Linked DNA regions of Bombyx mori. The protein of the gene in region 1 interacts with the protein of each later gene in a pairwise test. Links are inferred from orthologs where the notes say so. Each region holds a gene or a part of one and is shown in the gene's direction. Other genes may lie near its edges. The genes, in order: DNA primase large subunit and rho GTPase-activating protein 8.

The links.
Region 2: the proteins of DNA primase large subunit (region 1) and rho GTPase-activating protein 8 interact in a two-hybrid assay, tested with the Drosophila melanogaster proteins (2 studies listed by BioGRID). The link is inferred for Bombyx mori from reciprocal best matches to the Drosophila melanogaster genes Prim2 and RhoGAP68F.

The regions. Positions count from the first base shown.
Region 1 is NC_085110.1:5,391,045-5,400,953, reverse strand, and holds DNA primase large subunit, read left to right. Parts: upstream 1-5,045; 5' UTR 5,046-5,573; coding exon 5,574-6,804; intron 6,805-7,291; coding exon 7,292-7,533; 3' UTR 7,534-7,571; downstream 7,572-9,909. Other genes in the region: endoplasmic reticulum transmembrane helix translocase, read right to left, coding at 348-2,297, 2,402-2,608, 3,360-3,449, 3,525-3,788; Golgi apparatus protein 1, read right to left, coding at 7,583-7,741, 7,935-8,041. UniProt on the Drosophila melanogaster protein: Regulatory subunit of the DNA primase complex and component of the DNA polymerase alpha complex (also known as the alpha DNA polymerase-primase complex) which play an essential role in the initiation of DNA synthesis.
Region 2 is NC_085107.1:5,052,637-5,062,575, reverse strand, and holds the start of rho GTPase-activating protein 8, read left to right. Parts: upstream 1-3,950; 5' UTR 3,951-4,261; coding exon 4,262-4,310; intron 4,311-4,942; coding exon 4,943-5,059; intron 5,060-9,939. Other genes in the region: peptidylprolyl isomerase, read right to left, coding at 2,248-2,318. UniProt on the Drosophila melanogaster protein: Functions as a GTPase-activating protein (GAP) for RhoA/Rho1 during gastrulation by converting it to an inactive GDP-bound state.

The DNA.
Region 1 (9,909 bases):
TAATGCAGCCCTTTTTTTTTTTTTTTACCACCTATTTTACTTTATAAATAACATATTATGAATAATAAGGAAAAAAAATACTTAAAATGAGTCTACATGATTTTATATTATTGCTTAACCAATAAAAAATCTAAAGAAAAATGTGTATATTTCTTTTCATAATTCTCATGAGCTTCTCGACTCGGGACCTAGCCTGCTCTTGCAGTCATAGCTGGTCGAAGACCGCAACTTAAATACCTCTAACAAGACTCAGCTACATCGAATCAACAGTTATCTTGGTTGTCAATTATAGGACATAAAAGGGTTGGTTGTGATTAAAATCGATTAGATTTAAAAAAAAAACTTACATCAGCATGTTTTAACGCTCCGACATCATTAGTTCCATCGCCGCACATGAGCGTGGTATATCCCAAAGACTTTAACGTGACCACAACGAATTCCTTCTGCTTGGGCGCGAATCTGGCAAAAACCTTGATGTGCGGCATCAATTCGAGGAGAAACTTACGATGATTTTCATTCAAGAAAGTCAGACCCTCACCGGTTATGCAAAGATCGAATTTCGAGGTCAACGATTTTGTTTTCTGAGACGGTTGCACTGGAAGATTTAGTTCTTCATCAATTGATTTCCATGCCCACTCCCCATCACTCTCGGTCAATATCAAAACCTCCTCTTTTTGGGTGAATTTTAATTCTTTGGCTACATGACACGCCGTCAGCGGATTATCACCCGTTATCATCACGACTGAATGCGAAGCGTGAACAATTTCAGCTATAGCTTTCTTTGAGTCCGTTTTTAATGGACATGATATTATGACGAAACCTACAAACGTTAGGTCACATTCAATGTCATCCCGGGATAAATCCCTTATCTCTTGAGATGTCAATTTTCCTAAATTTCTATAACCCAGAGCTAAAACTCGCGCGCCTCTCCTCGAGAGCGTTAGATAAACATGATCATAATGACTAGGGACATCCTTAAGCATCGATTTGATTGTTTCTGGGGCACCCTTAACACTACTGATGTAGTGAGTCTCAATAAAACCTCTTTCATTGATCTGATAACCTGCTATCACGGACATTCTTTTGAGAGCACTAGAAAAATGATTTCTATGAACAATTTTCAGGCCAGGTGACTTCCCCTTCTTTGGTACTACAGCATCGCTTTTGGTGAGGTTCCACTCTGCTGCCTTCAATGTAGCTTTTTCTAATGGATCCCCAACAATTCCATCGTCAAGTTGAACTAAAGAGTGGCACGATGCTAAAACTTGAACAGTCTCCATTGGAGCTTCAGAAAGGGGAACCACTGTTGCATCTTTGTGTTCTCCTATTCCAGCTACTCCTTCAACAACTAAATTATCACTTGTCAATGTTCCAGTCTTATCGAAACAACATATTTCTACTTTACCAGCAAAGGGTATCCTAAATGGTTCTGTACAGAATACGGCCAATTTCGATAAAGACAACAATGACGTATTAACTGCTAGAGACAACTCTATGGGCAGTTCAGGCGGAACAACCGATGTCAATATTAAAGTACATTCCAAAAATAATTTGTATCTATTTCGCTCAGGATCTTCGCAACCCTTGACCCACACATAGGCCGCAGCAGCTACAGCAAATATAAGCAAAAACATTATGAATCCAAAAGTTTCAAGATTATTAGCTGTGACCCTTTTCACTCCAAACAAAATGGTTCTTAGCAGTTTACCCTGTGATGTGTTAAAACCATTACGTATAACATAACCAATGCAACCATTATCCGGGGCTTTAAGCCCTGAAGGTGAGCTTTTGGATGGTGAGGAATGTTGTACAATCTTAGTACCACCAAAAAGCATGTGAAGTTTACCATCACCCTCAGGTTCTAGATGTTGCTGGAGGTCCTTTTCATTTTCCAAAGCTTCTTTCATTTGTGGAACACTCTCACCAGTCAACATGGACTCATCTACAATACAGGACCCCCGTAAGAGTATTATGTCACAAGGGACCAGGTTTTCGTTGACGGATCTTGTGAGGGATACTATGTCACCCGGTAAAAGCTGATCGCTTGTTATTTGTCTCCACCTCCTGTTTCGATATACATTAATGTTGTAAGGCTTATTGCCCATCTTTCTGATCTCAGCCATATTTCTGAGCTGTTGCTGCACCAATGTACATTCAAACATAACCAACATCACTAGTGTGAATATTGAGTAATACCAATACTTATCCAAACACCACAGAGCTACACAAAATACTTGAAATACAAAAAATGGTGCTGTTGCTCTCTCTTTAAAAAGTTCCATAAATTCCGGAACAACCTGAAAATTTGTAGAGTGGTTTGTATGGTTCAAATATTTTTAAAATAACATTCTTAATTTAATTTTCATTTATATATGTTTATGATTTTACAAAGATTACTTACCATAACCATCTCATTTTTACCAAATTCTTTTTCTGCTAAATCAATAGCCTCATCATCAGAATATCCTTTGGATTCCATATATTCTTCATAAATTTTATTGATAGGAAATTCTATGGTGTGAAAATTCTTTTTATCCCAGTCATACACATATTTACTCTTTTGAAATATGAACCAAACATCTGGGTGTATACTGTCTTTTTTTGTTGACTGTAAATCAAATATATTTTAAAATAAACCTGAACTTAGTGAAAATCGACTCGAAGCCCTCATTCTCTTTTCTAAATTGTACCCTGTACTATCATTAACTTTGAATGTTATTTTTTTCCTACATAAGCTGATAGCCTTGGGAGGCTATTTCAGCAGAACCTTAACTAGTAGGTGAGCTCACGGGGCTCAAACCTGACGACGTTGCGTACACGAACCCTGGCAAGAGCCGTGCTTCGCAGAATCTACCGCCGGATCGGAAACGCGACCCACTGAGAAGATTCGGCGAAAAACTCAGTGGCCTGTGTCTGAGGGTTAAGTTACTCATCGAGCCCTTCGTTGCAAGTGACGGGTTCGACAAGAATTTGAATGTAAAACTTGAAACTTAAAACTTGAAAACCATGAACAAGCTGGAAAAATATTTGTGGCTATTTGTATTCATTCCACATTCAAAGACCTGAAAGTACAGAGATTTCTACCATGTAATGTGTCTGTTTTTGAAAGAGAAAACAAATACACTGCGATCCCTACCTAATGCCAAATACTTGCCAATACAAATGCCAAAAAAAACAACCAAATAGAATACATCTAAGACTATGGGATACGGTATGGCCATATTTACTAGCCACTATACCAATAACTTGGTACCTTCAATGTGATGCAGATGTAAATCATTTTATTCCAATACTGTGTGAACATCACAGTTGAAAAATTTTAATATGGTTTTTGTTAAAGTTCACAATATAAGTCTTACCTTCGTATGATGTAGTCGAACAAGCTCAGATGATCCATTGTTAGAAGTCGGTACAACCTTGACTACCTCAGCTTGTATTGGATCTTTAACCTGTCATCAACATCATATAGCAAATGTAAAGTCTCTAATTTCTTTTTAAAAACATTTTGCTGTCTAAGGACTTACCGCTGAACAAGAAAGGAAGCAGTTGATATGAACACTCCAGTAACAACACAAACATATGAGGATCTGGACTGTTGCTATCACAGCCACAGTCACGAATCCTGCCTCGAAATTATCTTCTATACCGTACACAACGATCCATGAATAAAAAACCAGAGGGTAAATAAATAGAAAAGGCAAAACCGTGCCTTGTAAAACAGTCGGAACAGGCTTGAAAAGCTGTGTATACTGAACTAAATCATCTAGTGACGACTGCATCTTTACCATCGATGTCGCTATGAAAAATTCTATTAATTGATACGGATTCTAACGCAGTTGCCAAATTTTAACTAAATGATACTATCACGCAGCATTGCTCCATTCAATTGATTGGTTTTAATTCAAAATAATGGTTTGATTTCGGAGTCTAGCCAACTTGACAGATTATTGACATGTTGTAAATTGCAAAAGTAGTGAGTGAAGTGCATAGAGAATGACCGAAGTGTAAAACCGGAAAGAGCAACAACATGTGCATTACCAGCAACGTCATTAGCCCACATCAGCCTCACTGTTTGAGTATACAAATCCAGATTTTTGTAATTTTCAGCATTCCATTTTAAGTGGAAATAAGATTTCCACAACTCGTGAGTGATTTGTTTTGATGAATAGTTTAAATTTTTTTAGCTATGATATTTTAGGATAAAACATTTTTTTAAACTATTATTTATTTTCTTTACTAAAATATAAAGCCATTTTCGTTACTATAAATTCGTTGAGCCGAATCTTTGTTATTATTCAACACGATATTTAAAAAATTTGGTAATTACTCTAGAAACTACGGTGGGCGTCAGACATTGATGAAAACAAATCTGGCAGTTTGTGGGACCCAGTCATAGAAATACTCTATAATAAATATAGTAGAAAATTAAAATCACGTGCGCATAGTCAGCGCAAATTATACGAACAGGATAATTTGTCTGCAGTATAATAATAAAATAATGATTTGATCCATCACACTATTCAACTTAACTAAAATATTACATTTAATTATGAAACTTTAGTTCGTTGAAAATTTTATAAAAAATTATTAATCCCATGAGTTTATTTCTTTATTTTACCTCACTCTGATTCAACCCTCGCATCAACATCACCCCGAAGTTCTATTTACCGGTTTCCAGTGTGGCCACTAAGTATAACAAAGAATAAATTGACATCAAGCGATTTATCTATTAAGTGCTGTAATGAAGCTATCACTATCTATACAAAACCGTTATTTTAACAAGAGCAATGTTATCAGAACTATCAATTTACCAGTAACGATAAACAAAATTTCAGGACTTTTCGTTTTAAAGTGTTCCCTCGCTAATAAGCTTCGTAACTTCGACTGAAACGCTGTAAACTTCTTTACTCGCCACGGGTTTCGTCCTAATTTAGAGCCTGAGGCATTAGCATTTTGAATTCCTCAGTCACTTGGTCTGACCAATGGCTTTTTAAAATTGTTACGAAATCATAAAAAACTTGTTTTCAATAATAGATCAGGTTTCGGATTAAGTATTTTAATACTTGTAAGAACATGGTTTTATGTTTATAGTTTCACAGAGGTTCGTATATACAGTATATAGCCTTCGAAGGCAATGAAAATTCTTGCTGTAATTTTATTTTAGTCTTAAATCCCATTTTATTTGTCGTTATTGTCATTGTGTGGTCATGAAAAAAGCAATTACCATTAGTCATATCGTTCTTTCATTATGGACAAAACTGCGAAAGCTGAAAATCAATCTGAGACAAACACAAGACAAAAATGGATTTAATCTTTATTCTAAGCTATTTTGGGCTACGATGCCTTTGTCTCTTTTGTGGACAAATCAACAATGATGTCTGTCACTGTTACTTGTCACTATTGTGATTTGTGTCTACAAAAACTCATAGACCTATATAGTAAAAACTGGCGCCAAAATTGTTCCAGTAGCAAGTGTAACAATAGTGCTAAACATTATTAATATGAACATTATTAATAACAAGAATTTATAACACAATAAAGGTTAAAAGTAATTATTAAATATATAAAAAAGTATGGATTTCAAAGTTAAAAGAAAATCTACCAAAACTCCAGCAACAGGTAATCAATTCGAACTCTATCCACATGACTTACAATTGTACAAAATTCCACCGGTTGAAAACATCACTTTACAAGAATTTGAAACATTAGCTCTGGAGCGTGTAAATTTGTTAAGAACGTTGTCTACAGCTACAACTCTTCGAGGGTTGCGTTTAAATTCAGAAGAATTTGTGGAATTCGTACTAAACGATTTACGAGCACAGGGTTTGAAATATTATGCTAAATTGTGTGAGAAATCGGGTTGTGGATCTACTAAAGCAGATTTTGAAGCCCGAAGAAAAGATCACATTGCTCATTTTATACTCCGACTTGCTTATTGTCGGACTGAAGAGTTGCGACGTTGGTTCATCGCAAGGGAATTGGAACTATTCAAAATGAGATTTGCTGTCATGAGAGGCGAAGCGGTAGAGGTATTCTTTAAACTAAACAATCTATGTTACACTACTATTTCTGAAGATGAAAAAAACGAAGTAATACAAAACTTAATAGAATCTACACCCTACTCTAAAATAGACAATATGAAATTCTATAAGGTTAAATTCTTTGAAGTTCTAGATTTGGTTAAAGCAAGAAAAGTATTTCTTAATGATGGATACGCTTATATACCTCACAGAGATTTCATATCAGTTCTTGCAGCACAGTATCGAACACATTTAAAACAAAATTTGGCCAAAGCTTGCCATCATCTGTGTGAAATTGAACAAGATGAACGACTTGTTTGTTTGTTAAAAGGCTTACATCAATCTTATTCAGGTAATGATTATTCTGAAACTAAAGCTGTGATACCCATAGAAAGCTTGGACTCTATTTCAACCAAGTCATTTCCTCTGTGTATGAGGCAACTTCATGAACAATTAAGAATTGCCCATCACTTAAAACATGGGGGCAGGTTACAGTATGGCTTGTTCTTAAAAGGTATTGGTGTGACACTGGAAGACTCTTTAAGGTTTTGGAGGGAAGAATTCATTAAGATTATGGATTTGGATAAATTTGAAAAGCAATATGCTTATAATGTTAGATACAATTATGGAAAAGAAGGAAGCAAAAGGAATTATTCACCATTCAGTTGTCTGAAGATTATAAATACCAATGTTGGTCCTGGAGATTGTCATGGATGTCCATTCAGACACTGTGATACTGGTGTTCTAAAGAATAAACTTATTGGCTATGGTTTTAGTCATCAAGGTAAATCAAAATGTTATAACTGTTTTATCAAAGCCACAACAACATTAACTTGTACACAGACTAATAGAATAACGTAATGTATTCATTTCTAAGTACTTAATGTTGTGTAATTATAGTGTGCTAAATAAAATTAATTACAACTCCATAAACTATTTTAAAAAATGTACTAAAGCTTAAAAGTTTAAAATAACTGATATTAGTTTATTATGTTCCCAAAAATATTGCCTTTAATTTACCAAGTTGCACTATTGATGAGGTGACACTTCAGTAGATATTGATTACTCCTTTAGTGAACTAATCAGTTGGTAGATTGTACATGCCAAAATATTAAAATAACCTAAGTGAAACCAAAATTTATAGACTGCCAAATGTTACTCAGTTACTAACACTCATTGGAGCCTCCTTTGCAAACAGCAATGTTAATACATATGGAGGCTTGCACTAGTTGTAAATTTCACTGAAAAAGGTAAATTTTCTTGATTTTCAGTTGTTTCTGATATAGTGGAGTTGAGCAAGAAAACACATTTCCAAATTGCCTGCAGTAAATATTTTGATGCCATCCACAATGCAGATGTTGGTTTAGGTATCAATCATCCTAATCAGTTCTTTGAGGAGAGTCAGAAAATATTGAAAGGAGAATTGAAAGTACAACCCAAGAAAGAAAATCTTGTGAAGAAAGATATTGTTGACAGCATAGATGCTATGGATTTTGATGAGCCACTGGAATGATCTAACACAACAGAAATAAAACTTATTTCATATTGCAATAGTTCATTTATTATTTTTGCTTAACATACATAGCTTTTTTAGTAACATGTCCACAGTACAGACCAAATATAAAAATTATGCCTACAATCGAAATACCTACAACTAAGAAATACTTTTTTGATGGTGATGATGATATGCTATGATAAACATCTCCCAGTGTTTCAAATTTCTGTAAATTAAAAAACAAATTAATTATGTAAACACAATTATAAAAAGCAAAGAATAATAAAAAAAAAAATTATTAAAGGATATTTGGTTATGACACTTAAAATCAAGCATAAAATTGGAATTTTGCTATTTCAGATACAAACTGATTTGATTTGATGAATCTTTACTTAATAATTAATTAAAACAAAACTTACAGCTGCTACAAATCTATACATTTCTAATCTACTTGTGAGTTCCTTTTCACATGCTGCCTCCAACTTCCGTGTTCCATCATTTGATATAATTTTTAAACATTTCAGACCTGCAAAAATTTTTTTATTATCTTTCGTAATTTGGCAGGCATATGTTTGAGCGGCGTAGTATGTGAGATGGAAGTTTCGACCAACAGTCCATCTTCATTGTTGCCAAAGCGGATTGCTATCGCAACATATTGTTGTTTCATGCATTGGTCTGTCAGGCCATTAGCTTGTCTATTCATCTACAGTTGACAATACTAAAATGAACAATAACAATTCATTACGTAGTCCTTTGTCCATAAAATTCACAATCTATGAATCATCAATTACATTGTGAAGCGTGATAAGGCAGACACGAAACTTTTTAAGAATCAAATTATGTATCTATTTTTTTTATTATAATACATAAATATCTTCACCATAAAGAAGTTATATATATAGTGTAGTAAAATTTTATTACAATACAAATTACATTCAGAAAAAGTAACGCCGAATCTTTTATTAACGAATGAATACGAAAGCCATTAGCAGATATAAAGTAATATATTCAATATGGGATAAAGTCGAGAGCTCGCCATATAGCGGGACATCCGGGTTCGATAATAGCAATGTCGATTCTCGGTGGTATTCCTATCGTTCGCAGTACGCTATTGTTGTGATATCGCCCGAAAAGATAATTTTGTCAAGATAATAATTTAGAATTAGAATACATATAAAAAATTGTTATAATGATTTAACAGATATACGTGGGTACAACACATTTTTTTTAAGTAAGCATACCAAAACCGCGTTGGAGGTTGAGTCGAGTCGAGTTAAGCTCGTGTGAACGACTAAAGATACGGGGGTTAAGCACGAAACTTCTACGTCCTGATTATATGGGACTTGCAAAATGATAGAGGCCACCCAATAAACGACTACTCTCGCCCGATCGGCCAATCTCCGTCCGAGACACAACCCAAGAGAGGTTTTACGAGGGTTTATCTCTCACAACTGCAAGGAGTTTACTTTTTTATTGCTTAGATGGGTGGACGAGCTCACGGCCCACCTGGTGTTCAGTGGTTACAGAAGCCCATAGACATATATAATGTAAATGCCGCCACACACCTTGAGATATGAGTTCTAAAGTCTCAGTACAGTTACAACCGCTGCCCCACCCACCCTTCAAACCGAAACTCATTACTGCTTCACGGCAGAAATAGGCAGGGTGGTGGTACCTAGAACTTTGAAGGTAATTAAAGAACCTTACTTTGAAGGTGATTTGTATGAATAACTAACATTTTGTTTATTATTGATATTTTCCGTGTAAGTACTTTCTTGACCGAGTAGTAAGTATAATTACTATCTATTTTGTCAAGCGTAACCAAATGCACATTAATTTTCCAGAAAGTCCTTGTTACTTTGAGCGGTTTTTTTTTATTCCAGGACAGTTTCTATATAAGTACATGCTTAGTATGTTTAGTACAAAGGCCGTAGTATTTGCACCCTCCATTCGCCGTTGTTTTATAAAGTCTAAAATTCTTGTTTTTTTATCTCTTTCTGTGCTTACAAAACAAATTTCATACTACGAGTGTATACTATTCACGGTATTTGATTGAATATCGATGCATTTCTATGATAACGTTTAGAGTTTTTATGAACACTAATATAAAAATTAATGGTGTAGTAAGCCTCCATATGCTTCTGTAACTTAATCGGTTTCCTTTTTAAAAAAATACAAAATGTGTGCAATTCTCACGTGGTAGAAGTGAAACCTTCCAAAATTAAAATACAATTATCCTAAACGTCTTAAGTATATGTAAAATTTTGTCATTAATAAATAATTGTAAGGTAGCGCCCTCTGTGAATTGATATTTTAATTTCACGTATAATCCTAAATTAAAATTCACTACAAGAGCTTTCATACACACGTTAGTATTAAAAAATCTCACAGATG
Region 2 (9,939 bases), on another chromosome or scaffold:
GGCCGCCTCAGAACAACTTGGCGTCGCTCGGTGGAGCAGGAGCTAGGGTTCTTGGGCATGACGTGGGAGGAGCTAGAACAGACTGCCCAAGACCGATATAAATGGAAAAATTTGATTCGAGCCCTACACCCCAGTAGAGGGTAATAGGAAAGAATGATGATGATGATGAACAACAACAACTACGGCACTTTATCATAATACTACTAAAGTTGACACAGATTACTTGCTCTGGCGATGCTCGACTTCTGCGAGTCCACCATCTCGCAGAAGGAGGCAGCGGAACCGGAGAGGGAGAACCGCCGCCACCGTCGAGTCAGGGGTCGGAGGAGGGCGTTTGTCCAGCTCCGGCCCCTATGAGGAGGCAGTCTCCTCCCGGTGATGGTCACGGGGCGACCTAAGGGGGTTGAGACTGCGCCGCACGCTATAGTCACTCTAGCGCGCTGGCACCAGGAGGACTGGGCGACGCGTCGACGACTGCGGACTGCGATGCGGTCCGCATTGTCGTCGTCGCTGTCGTCGCCGAACATACTGTGAAAGAGCAGGCTGGTTCTGGCCCAGCGGGGTATGCCGGAACAGCAGCGGCATCGCCCGGGCGGCCTGGTAGGGCCGCCGTACCGCGGAGACCGACGTCGTTGGTCGTCGACTATCGCCTCGACGACCCGTCGGTCGGGCGTCCTCGGGATGGCGCCGCGTGTCTGGTTGTAGTGTTGACCGCGGGAACCCCCCTACTCTGGCCGGGTTTTGACCCCAGACGAAGATCGGACGTCGTTTTTGCAGGGGAGTCGTTTAGTGGGTGGGCCCTAAAATTCCTTGGGCCCTCGGTCTGCTCTCAACAACTGCAGATCGTTGAGTCTCACATAACCCGCGCGCCCCCTAGGCGCGGGGACCTTGCAGGAGGTTCAGCCCTCGGCCCGAAAAAAAGAAAAGATTACTTGCTCTTGCAATGGTAATGTTTTTTGAACATTTGCATGTATGCTTAATTTCTTCCAATTAACTTTTTAATGGATTTGAACATTTGGGATATCTTTTGATTAATCTCAATTGTGAGAGTGGCATACAGTATATAAAACAATGCAATATTTAATACAAAAAAGTCATAGTTTCTCATTCTATAATATTTATCAAAAAACGAATTTTGAGAGATCTAAAACATTGTAAACCAAGCTTAGTAGAAATACAGTAAAGAAAGTGTTTTGATACATTAGTGATTTTATTGTTGCATGATCATTCATATAATAATATAATAATAATAATTATTATTATGCCGTCGCTTCTCTTTTCATTCAAAGAAAACAGTGGCCGAAATGATCAAGGGCTCCAAAAATGAAAATGAAATGAAGTGTCTGGATTGGTTCCCTTTCTAAAAAGACGGTGATTTCCACATTCAGGAAAGCCTCCAAAGGCACTGAGTTGGAGGCATTGCTCGATGAGGATATGTAGCAAAAGCAAGATCAGCTTGCTTCAGCATTATTACTAGCCAAAGCTATATCCAAACCATTGCATGCATTGGGAATGATTCAGAAGGAAGTAGCTTGGGTTCTTTATGAGTTGAAACCAAGAGATAATGAGCATTATCTTTTCCGTGAATAAAGGATCCAGTGGTGTAAAAGTAACAGTTTTCTTCATCACATCATGATAAGTGATGAAAAGTGGATTCAATACAGCAACCCAAAGAGAAAAGTATCTTGGGGACTGTCCAGTCACACATCTACATTCTCGGGTCAGCTGAATATTCACAGTGCAAAAGTTATTTTGTGCATTCAGTGGAACTAAGTCGGTGTTGTTGATTATGAGCTGTTGGATCTAAACAACATATTCACTAGGGAACAGTATTGAACTCAATGCAATGAAGGCGAGCACTATACAAGTATAAATTATCACGATACCATCAAAGGTATGATAAAATAATAATTCTCTTGCATGACAATGCTGTCTCATGTTGCCAAAACCTGCCTGGAAAGGCTAAGGGCACGACTTGCCCCACCCACCATCTGATTATTATTTGTTCCGTTTGATTGGACATAGTTTAGCTGATTAATAGTTCCGGTCATATAGAAACATGAAGTGTGAAATAGAACGAGTTATTATGTATACTTTTTTTGGTTACAATTAGAATTCAGAATGGTTTTTGTTTCATTCGTGATTTATAAGATTGCAATCTTAAAGGCGGATATTACATATTTATGATATCTATTACAAATGTTGGATAAATGGTATTAGTTAATGTTAAAGTTTTGAATGACTTACGTCGTTTCAATTACAACAACGGGTGGTTGCCATGATTTATCCGGTATACCGGCATTCGAATAACCTAGCATGTTCTTATTTTTATCTTGTACAGTAGATAACTCAATTTACTCAATAAACTAAAAACCTACATAGATATTAAATAGCGTACACTCCAATTTTTTTTGCATAGATTTTAAACTTTAAACTTAGTTGAGAGTTGTTTGATTACTTGAACCATAGATAATACAGAATGTGTTACAGACTATCGTTTTACATTTCAGAAGGTTAGTTGATTTATTTCATCCATTGGATAAGCAAAAGAGACATAGCTCATTCAGCCAAATCTTATGTAACAATGGCTGAAATTAAGTAATTTTTTTTTTATTGCTTAGATGGGTGGACGATCTCACAGCCCACCTGGTGTTAAGTGGTTACTGGAGTCCATAGACATCCACAACGTAAATGCGCCACCCACCTTGAGATATAAGTTCTAAGGTTTCACGTATAGGTACAACGGCTGCCCTACCCTTTAAGCCGAAACGCATTACTGCTTCACGGCAGAAATAGGCAGGGTGGTGGTACCCACCCGCGCGGACTCACAAGAGGTCCTACCACCAGCAATTACGCAAATTATAATTTTGCGGGTTTCATTTTTAATACACGATGTTATTCCATCACCGTGGAAATCAATCGTGAACATTTGTTGAGTACGTATTTCATTAGAAAAATTGGTACCCGCCTGAGATTCGAATACCGGTGCATCGCTCAACACGAATGCACCGGACGTCTTATCCGTTAGGCCACGACGACTTCCCATATGTTGTATGTCATGGATGTTACATGGATAAAAACTGCAATAACGAAATCAACAGAAATTAAATGGAATTAAAAGAGGTGAAATAGGAAAACATAAGCATTGGATGAAATGAAGTAACACAGCACAGAAATAAAGACCATTAATAATGCTTAGCGCTAAAGGATCGGCACCACGCGGGGCTATCTAAGTTGTTCACATACTCCTTCATATACTCCTATTTGTGCCTACGGCCTATATATATGTAGTCGGCGAGTATCTAAATGAGGCATTAGAGAATCCATAATCGACTTTTTTATTATTACTTTATGTTATTCATTTGTTTGGATGGAGGTATTTTTGTTAACCTAGAACCCTATAGTTTCACCAGAACAGATGACTGAACTCGAGGAATTGACTGGAGGAGGACTCTGCGTCTATTATATATCTATTATATAACCCATACATATCTAATCCTACGATAGTATAAGTCCAAAAGAAAGATTGGTTGTAACATTAAGATTTCTTGCAACAGGAAATTCGTATCAAGATTTAAAATTTAGTTCTTCAATATACCAACCCCTGATAAAAATTATCCCTGAAACATGTTGGGCTATTTATAAATGTCTGGCACATTAAATAAAGGTGACCGAAATTAATACTTTTTATTTTAAAGTAAAAAATCACGAAGTAACTAAATGCGATTACACCTTCCTAAATGCGTTTCTAATTAGGCTTCTAAATAATCATTTAGTTAGTCCGAAACCATCCTTGCTACTGAATTTAGTAGGCCAACTTACTTAATGCTATTACGCTTCACTGAATTCAGTAGCGACTGAATTCAGTCGACTAAATTTAGCCAACTGTATTAAGCCTATAAGTATAAGACGTAATTTCTTAAATTATTCTGTGATTGTAAAGCCCATTTTGACGTATTCCTTTCAACGTCAATGGAATAGAGCATTTGTTTTGTCTGATAATCTCGAGTTTTACTCTTGTACAACTGGAATCGGAAATAATAAAGCTACATAGTTCTTAGATAAATATGTAGGTAGTTGCTTGCATTTTAATTTTATAATTTTCTTGTTAATTTCAGATTACAGTACATTTTAAACATTAATAAGACTGGAGGATAACGGATTTATTAGCTCGAAGGGATATTGTCTACGCATATGAAGTAACAGCAAATTGTTTGATTTCGAGAAACCATAATTGTATAGATTTATTTGATGATTCAAAATGGACCCGGAACATCAACCCAAACTTAATCCGGTCAGGGCCTTTCAAGGTATGTGTAGTATATTTAGATATGTTAGCACTTTAGCCTTTACACATTGACCTAACTTAGTACGTCGCGCCCCGCCTGCGCGTGAGGTTGCGTGCTCTTAGTGTTGTTTAGAGAATCATTCAGTACAACCCTCTAACTTGATGTGAATGTTCCATTACTCTGCTTGCTAATTGTTCCCTAAAATTCTTTAATTATTCAAAATGAATATTTTCAATTGTGCCAGAAATAAGTTTCGATCGTGGTTTTCTTTTTTATTCCCCAAACGGAATAACTCCTCCCAGGCTGCTGCAGCAGAAAGAGCAACAAGTTAGTGGGAAGTTTTGACTGTATATGAAGTTAAGTTTTTTTATTTCATTTTTGAGTTCATTTTATTATTAATGATCAAAATTTAATTTTGAGTTTATTTCAATTATGTTTGAACCAGTTAGCAAATATTATTTAAAATTATGTGATTGGAAAACAAATTGGAGGCATATTTGATAGAATATCATCCAAAATTGAGTTTTATTTATTTATGGTAATTATTAGTTTTTAAAATTATTTTTATTTTAAAAATGTGTTTGTTTTTTTTTTCTTTAAGCCTTTTTGCTTAAATAATAATAAATATGTATTTTAAATAAATTTCTTTTTAGTTCTACATGGTTGTAATGGGGAAACAGAGGAAAATTACACTAGTCTTTCTGAGTACCATGACTATGAACCAAGCCTTGAATTTGATGACTCTGAATTGATCCATGGACCTGGTCTAGGTAAGTATTTAAAGGTTATTTAACTATATTTGGAATAATTGTGGTAGGTGTTATAAAATATAAATCTAACAAAACAAAATAGACATAGTTGGAAATTTAAAAAATGAGCTTAATGATTGGGTGAGGTGCACTCGGAAGCATGAATTTTATTTTATATTTATAAAGTTTTATTTCCAAATTAATAATGTAACAAAAATCATTAATGATATTTTTTTAAATTTAATCTGAAGTGCTAAGTTTTTTTGGTAGGTTTTGGACAGCTAGGTCACAGCTTTGGATTTTTATTAAAAATGCAATTGAGAATTAGTTTGTCATGTAATTAATATTTACAAAACTTTCCTTACCTTTGGTTTTTAAACTATAGTGCTCACTTGTAAAACATGCTTTTGATAAAAATATGCTTAAAGTTTTTCAGCATTGATACTCTTATCATATTTCCATAAAATTTTGAGCTGGCTGGATGCAATTCAAATTTTTTTATAAAATTTTCCTTTGAGTTGAATCTGGATATTACTATTTTTAATCTCTTGTCACTGCAATCATCTACAGTCCGTTTCCAGATATTATTTTTACATTTTACATCTACATATTGTCTGGCATTGGAATGAGCTCAGCTCTACATTGTTTACCAAGAGCTGTGACATGTCCTTTGTCAAATGAGGCGTGTGGAGATTACTTAACAGTAGGCAGTGGCTTGGCTCTGCCCCTGGCATTGCTGATGTCCATGAGCGACAGTAGCCACTCACCATCAGGCACCTACAAGGGTTACAAATAAAATGAAGGAAACTTGATCTTTGGGATGTGTTTTTAGATATTGGGGAAAATGAAAGTGTTTGTAAAATTATGCTCAATATTTCAGTTATAAATCAATGAAAATTTCTGGAATAGGGCAATAATTTATACTTACATTGAATCATTAATTCCTAGACCCCTATAGTAGGGTTTCTTCCATTGTAGATGCTTCCAAAAAATCAATCTTCTTTTACCTTACAATCTTTTGATGAGTCGTCGTGGCCAAAAGAATTAGACGTCCGGTGCATTCGTATGTAGCGATGCATCGGCGTTCCGATCCGTCGGCAGGTACTAATTTTTACAATGAAATACATACTCAACAAATGTCCACGATTGACTTCAACCTTGAAAGAATAACATCGTATAATAAAATGAAACCCGCAAAATTATAATTTGTGTAATTACTGGTGGTAGGACGTCTTGCGAGTCCACACAAATAGATACCACCACCCTGCCCTGCTGACGTGAACCAGTAATGCGTTTCGGTTTGAATGGCGGTGCAGCCGTTGTTCTGTTAAAAGTGAGACATTATGTCCTTATGACAGAACTTATGAGACCTATGACCTTATAACCTCATGTTTCTAGGTGGGTGGCGGCATTTACATTGTAGATGTCTATGGGCTCCGGCAACCACTTAACACCAGGTGAACCGTGAGCTCGTCCACCCGTCTAAGCAATAAAAAAATAATAAAAAACCTTTGAATGATTTCTTGGGTATTCTCATTTAAATTTTTGTCATTAACTTTATGTATGCTGAGAATCTATACTCTTTCCTCATACCCGATCCTGTGGAGCGAATAGTAAACAGTCGACGTCGCCCTAAACACGTAATTACGGATCCTCCGATCCATTAACGGTGCTTTTAGGTACCACAAGCACCGTCCTCGTCGAACCCGTCGCTTGCGACGAAGGGCTCGATCTTCTCAGTGGGGCGCGTTTCAGATCTAGCGGTAGATTCTGCGAAGCACTGCTCTTACTAGAGCCAATGTTAGCAACATTCTCGGTTTGACCCCCGTAAGCTCACTTACACGTCAAGGAGAAGCTGAAATAGGCTCTCAAGGCATCAGCATAGATGGGAAAGAAAAAAAACTCTTTATGAGAATTAAAATACAACAAACTTTATTTTATATAAAAGTAATAATTACATTCTATTTTGAAGCATTTTCAATGCTAATATTCTAAACTTGAAGTTCAATAATAGTTTATATTATGCATAAATTATTGCATTAGAGCTTAGTCTTCACCGAGTTGTATTTAAAAGTGACGTACGCTAAAGTCTACTTCGACACTGCAACATGCATTCCCTGGTTACTCCATTGACAATGAACTGACAAAGTTAGGGCTGGGCCCCCAAAGTACTTTACTTATGATAACATTTAATGGAGAAAAAAAATCTGGATCTGTGGTCCCCAGTATGGCTTTGATGGTGCAGTAGTATTAATCGCTCCTCTTTGGTCATCAGTTTGCAAAATCGAATGACAATACAACATTAATATAACAATTTTAATTACTCTTGTACTATGACCTTATACTTAAACAATCAAATCGAAGCAAACATCTATTTGCGGTGATAAATTATGCAATGGCACACCAGAGTTGCATAAAACTACCTTACACATTAGGCAATTTTGTTAATAAGCTTTATGGATTTGTGATTCTACTACTCGTTACCAGCAAGTAATTCGTGTATTAATCTGAACGCATTGGGTGAGCAATAATTTCGGAATGAGCTTGGAACGAAAGCTGTATATTCGTTTAAATTTAAGCTGATGGATTGTTTCGTTTGTCGATTCGTCGTCACTGTCGAGGATTTTATGCACAGTAGTCAGGTTAAATTACATGTCACGATGAGGGCGTAGTTCGGTCTTTGAAGTGGAAGTTTATTCATTTGGAAAACAAACACTATATTCACAGTCAAATATTAGTAACGAGTATCACAAAAACTATAGTTATATTATTATATAGAAGGGTGGGGTAGCCGTTGTAACTATACTGAGACCTTAGAACTTATATCTCAAGGTGGGTGGCGCATTTACATTGTAGATGTCTATGGGCTCCAGTAACCACTTAACACCAGGTGGGCTGTGAGCTCGTCTACCCATCTATCTAAGCAATAAAAAAAAAAAAACTTTTTTTTTCTTTCTAAACACCGCACCGGATGAAGTGATAGTGTATCGGCGTGTTATAAATATTCAAGAAAACGCGCTGCACCGTTTTTGTGACTCGCTTGGTCTTACGGATTGAATATATAAATAGTAATTACTTTAGGTTTTAGGATAAATTTTCAGTTGTGATATCGTGTGCTTTGGGATAAATCTTCAGTTGCGATTTCCCATTTTTCGTATGTTTGAAAATATGATATAAATATGAAGAAAATATTTTGATTTAATTCTAAAAATATCTACGTTCAATAGAAAGCTTAGAAAATGGTGTATTTTTTTGTGATTCTTGAATTTATACGCCATAGCAGATTTCAACCCACAATGTTTACGTTGAATCTAAAAATATTATGCTTTACATTGGAACTTCTCAGAAAATATCATAAAAGATTTTTCTAGACAGCTCAGACGTTGTACCACCTTAACTTATTCAAGGTCATTTTTACTTTACTTTCTGCGATATTAAAATTGAAATCGCAATACGTAATTCAATAAAATATGTGTTGATGAAATGATTAGAGTCCACGATTGAAAAATTGCACAAGTAAATCGATCTGGATGATGTATCAACGTGCTCTTGTTCTGATTGTTAGATACAGTCCCCTATATGTTAAAATCAACTGGAAGGCCGCGATGTCGAGTTCAAGGATTTCACGATTGATTTTTGATGAGTGATTTTGGTGTTAAAATTGAATATACTCTCAGATGAAAGAGGACTATGCCAAAATATCGCTTCTACGTTATATTATATATGGATATAAATAGGAACATGGACTGCATAAATCATGAAAATATTGTTGTAAAACAGAACTGAGAGTGCAGTCAGAAAACGTAGGTTCGTATTTTTCAATATATTATGGAAACTGGTAACCAGTTACATCAAGCGATTTCCTCAATCCCTGTAAACAATAAAAGTCCCCAGAGACCGCTTTACGAATGAGTATTGCTCAATCACGATCAATAGGATCTAATGCATGTATCGGGCTTACCCTGTAACTGTGTTGTTATTAATGGATGAAGACCATGGACTAGATCCGGTCGTAAACTAGCCTTGGGAGCTTTTTGTATGTCTTATCTTCAACGCTGGCTTACTGGTTCGTGACACTCGAATCGTGAATAAAATGTAGTAGCCGCGAAAGCTTTAATATAATTCTAATGTCAAAAAAAAAAGAAAATAAGAATAATGAACTCGATAATAATAGCTTACACGTTTTTAATTTATGATTTGTATTACGAGTATAATACTCAGTCATAATAAAAGTTTTGCACGTAACAGAACCACCTGTTACTCAGTTATCTGTTGTATTAGATTAATGTAGGTCATTTCGCACGCTCTTCTTTCTTCGACATCGCGGAAGTAATGAAAATTATTAAGGTAATGTTTTATATGAGATGTACAAAACATTAAATTCGACTTTGAAAACTATGCCAATATGGTATTTTGGTTTCGGTTTCGTTTACCTTGGGTTTAGTTATAACATCAACAATGTTCGCTTAAGTAGAACTTTTATGAAATGAAAGTAAATTTATTTAATAAATAGTTTATGTTTTGTCGAAATCATATACCTATTTTGTACATACCTACATGATTCCCTGTATTTTACAGTCAAACATATATTGATAATGAATTTTAATTTTGTATTAAAAATAAAAGAAAAAACATTTACATATTGTTTTACCATTACACGTGTCGTGCACTATGAAAAGTAATTTAGAACAAGAAAGTTAAAGCTAACAAATTTACTTATTCATACACTACCTGTATTTATTCAGTATACTGTAGCTGAAAGGATAAGCTCGCGATTTATCACTGTCTTTTCTATAATAAGTCATAGTAATAAGTTTTTAAGTATACATCGAAATGATGGGCTTCATAGTGTGAATTTTATACATAAACATTTTTCCTACACGGCACACCGAACAAATAGA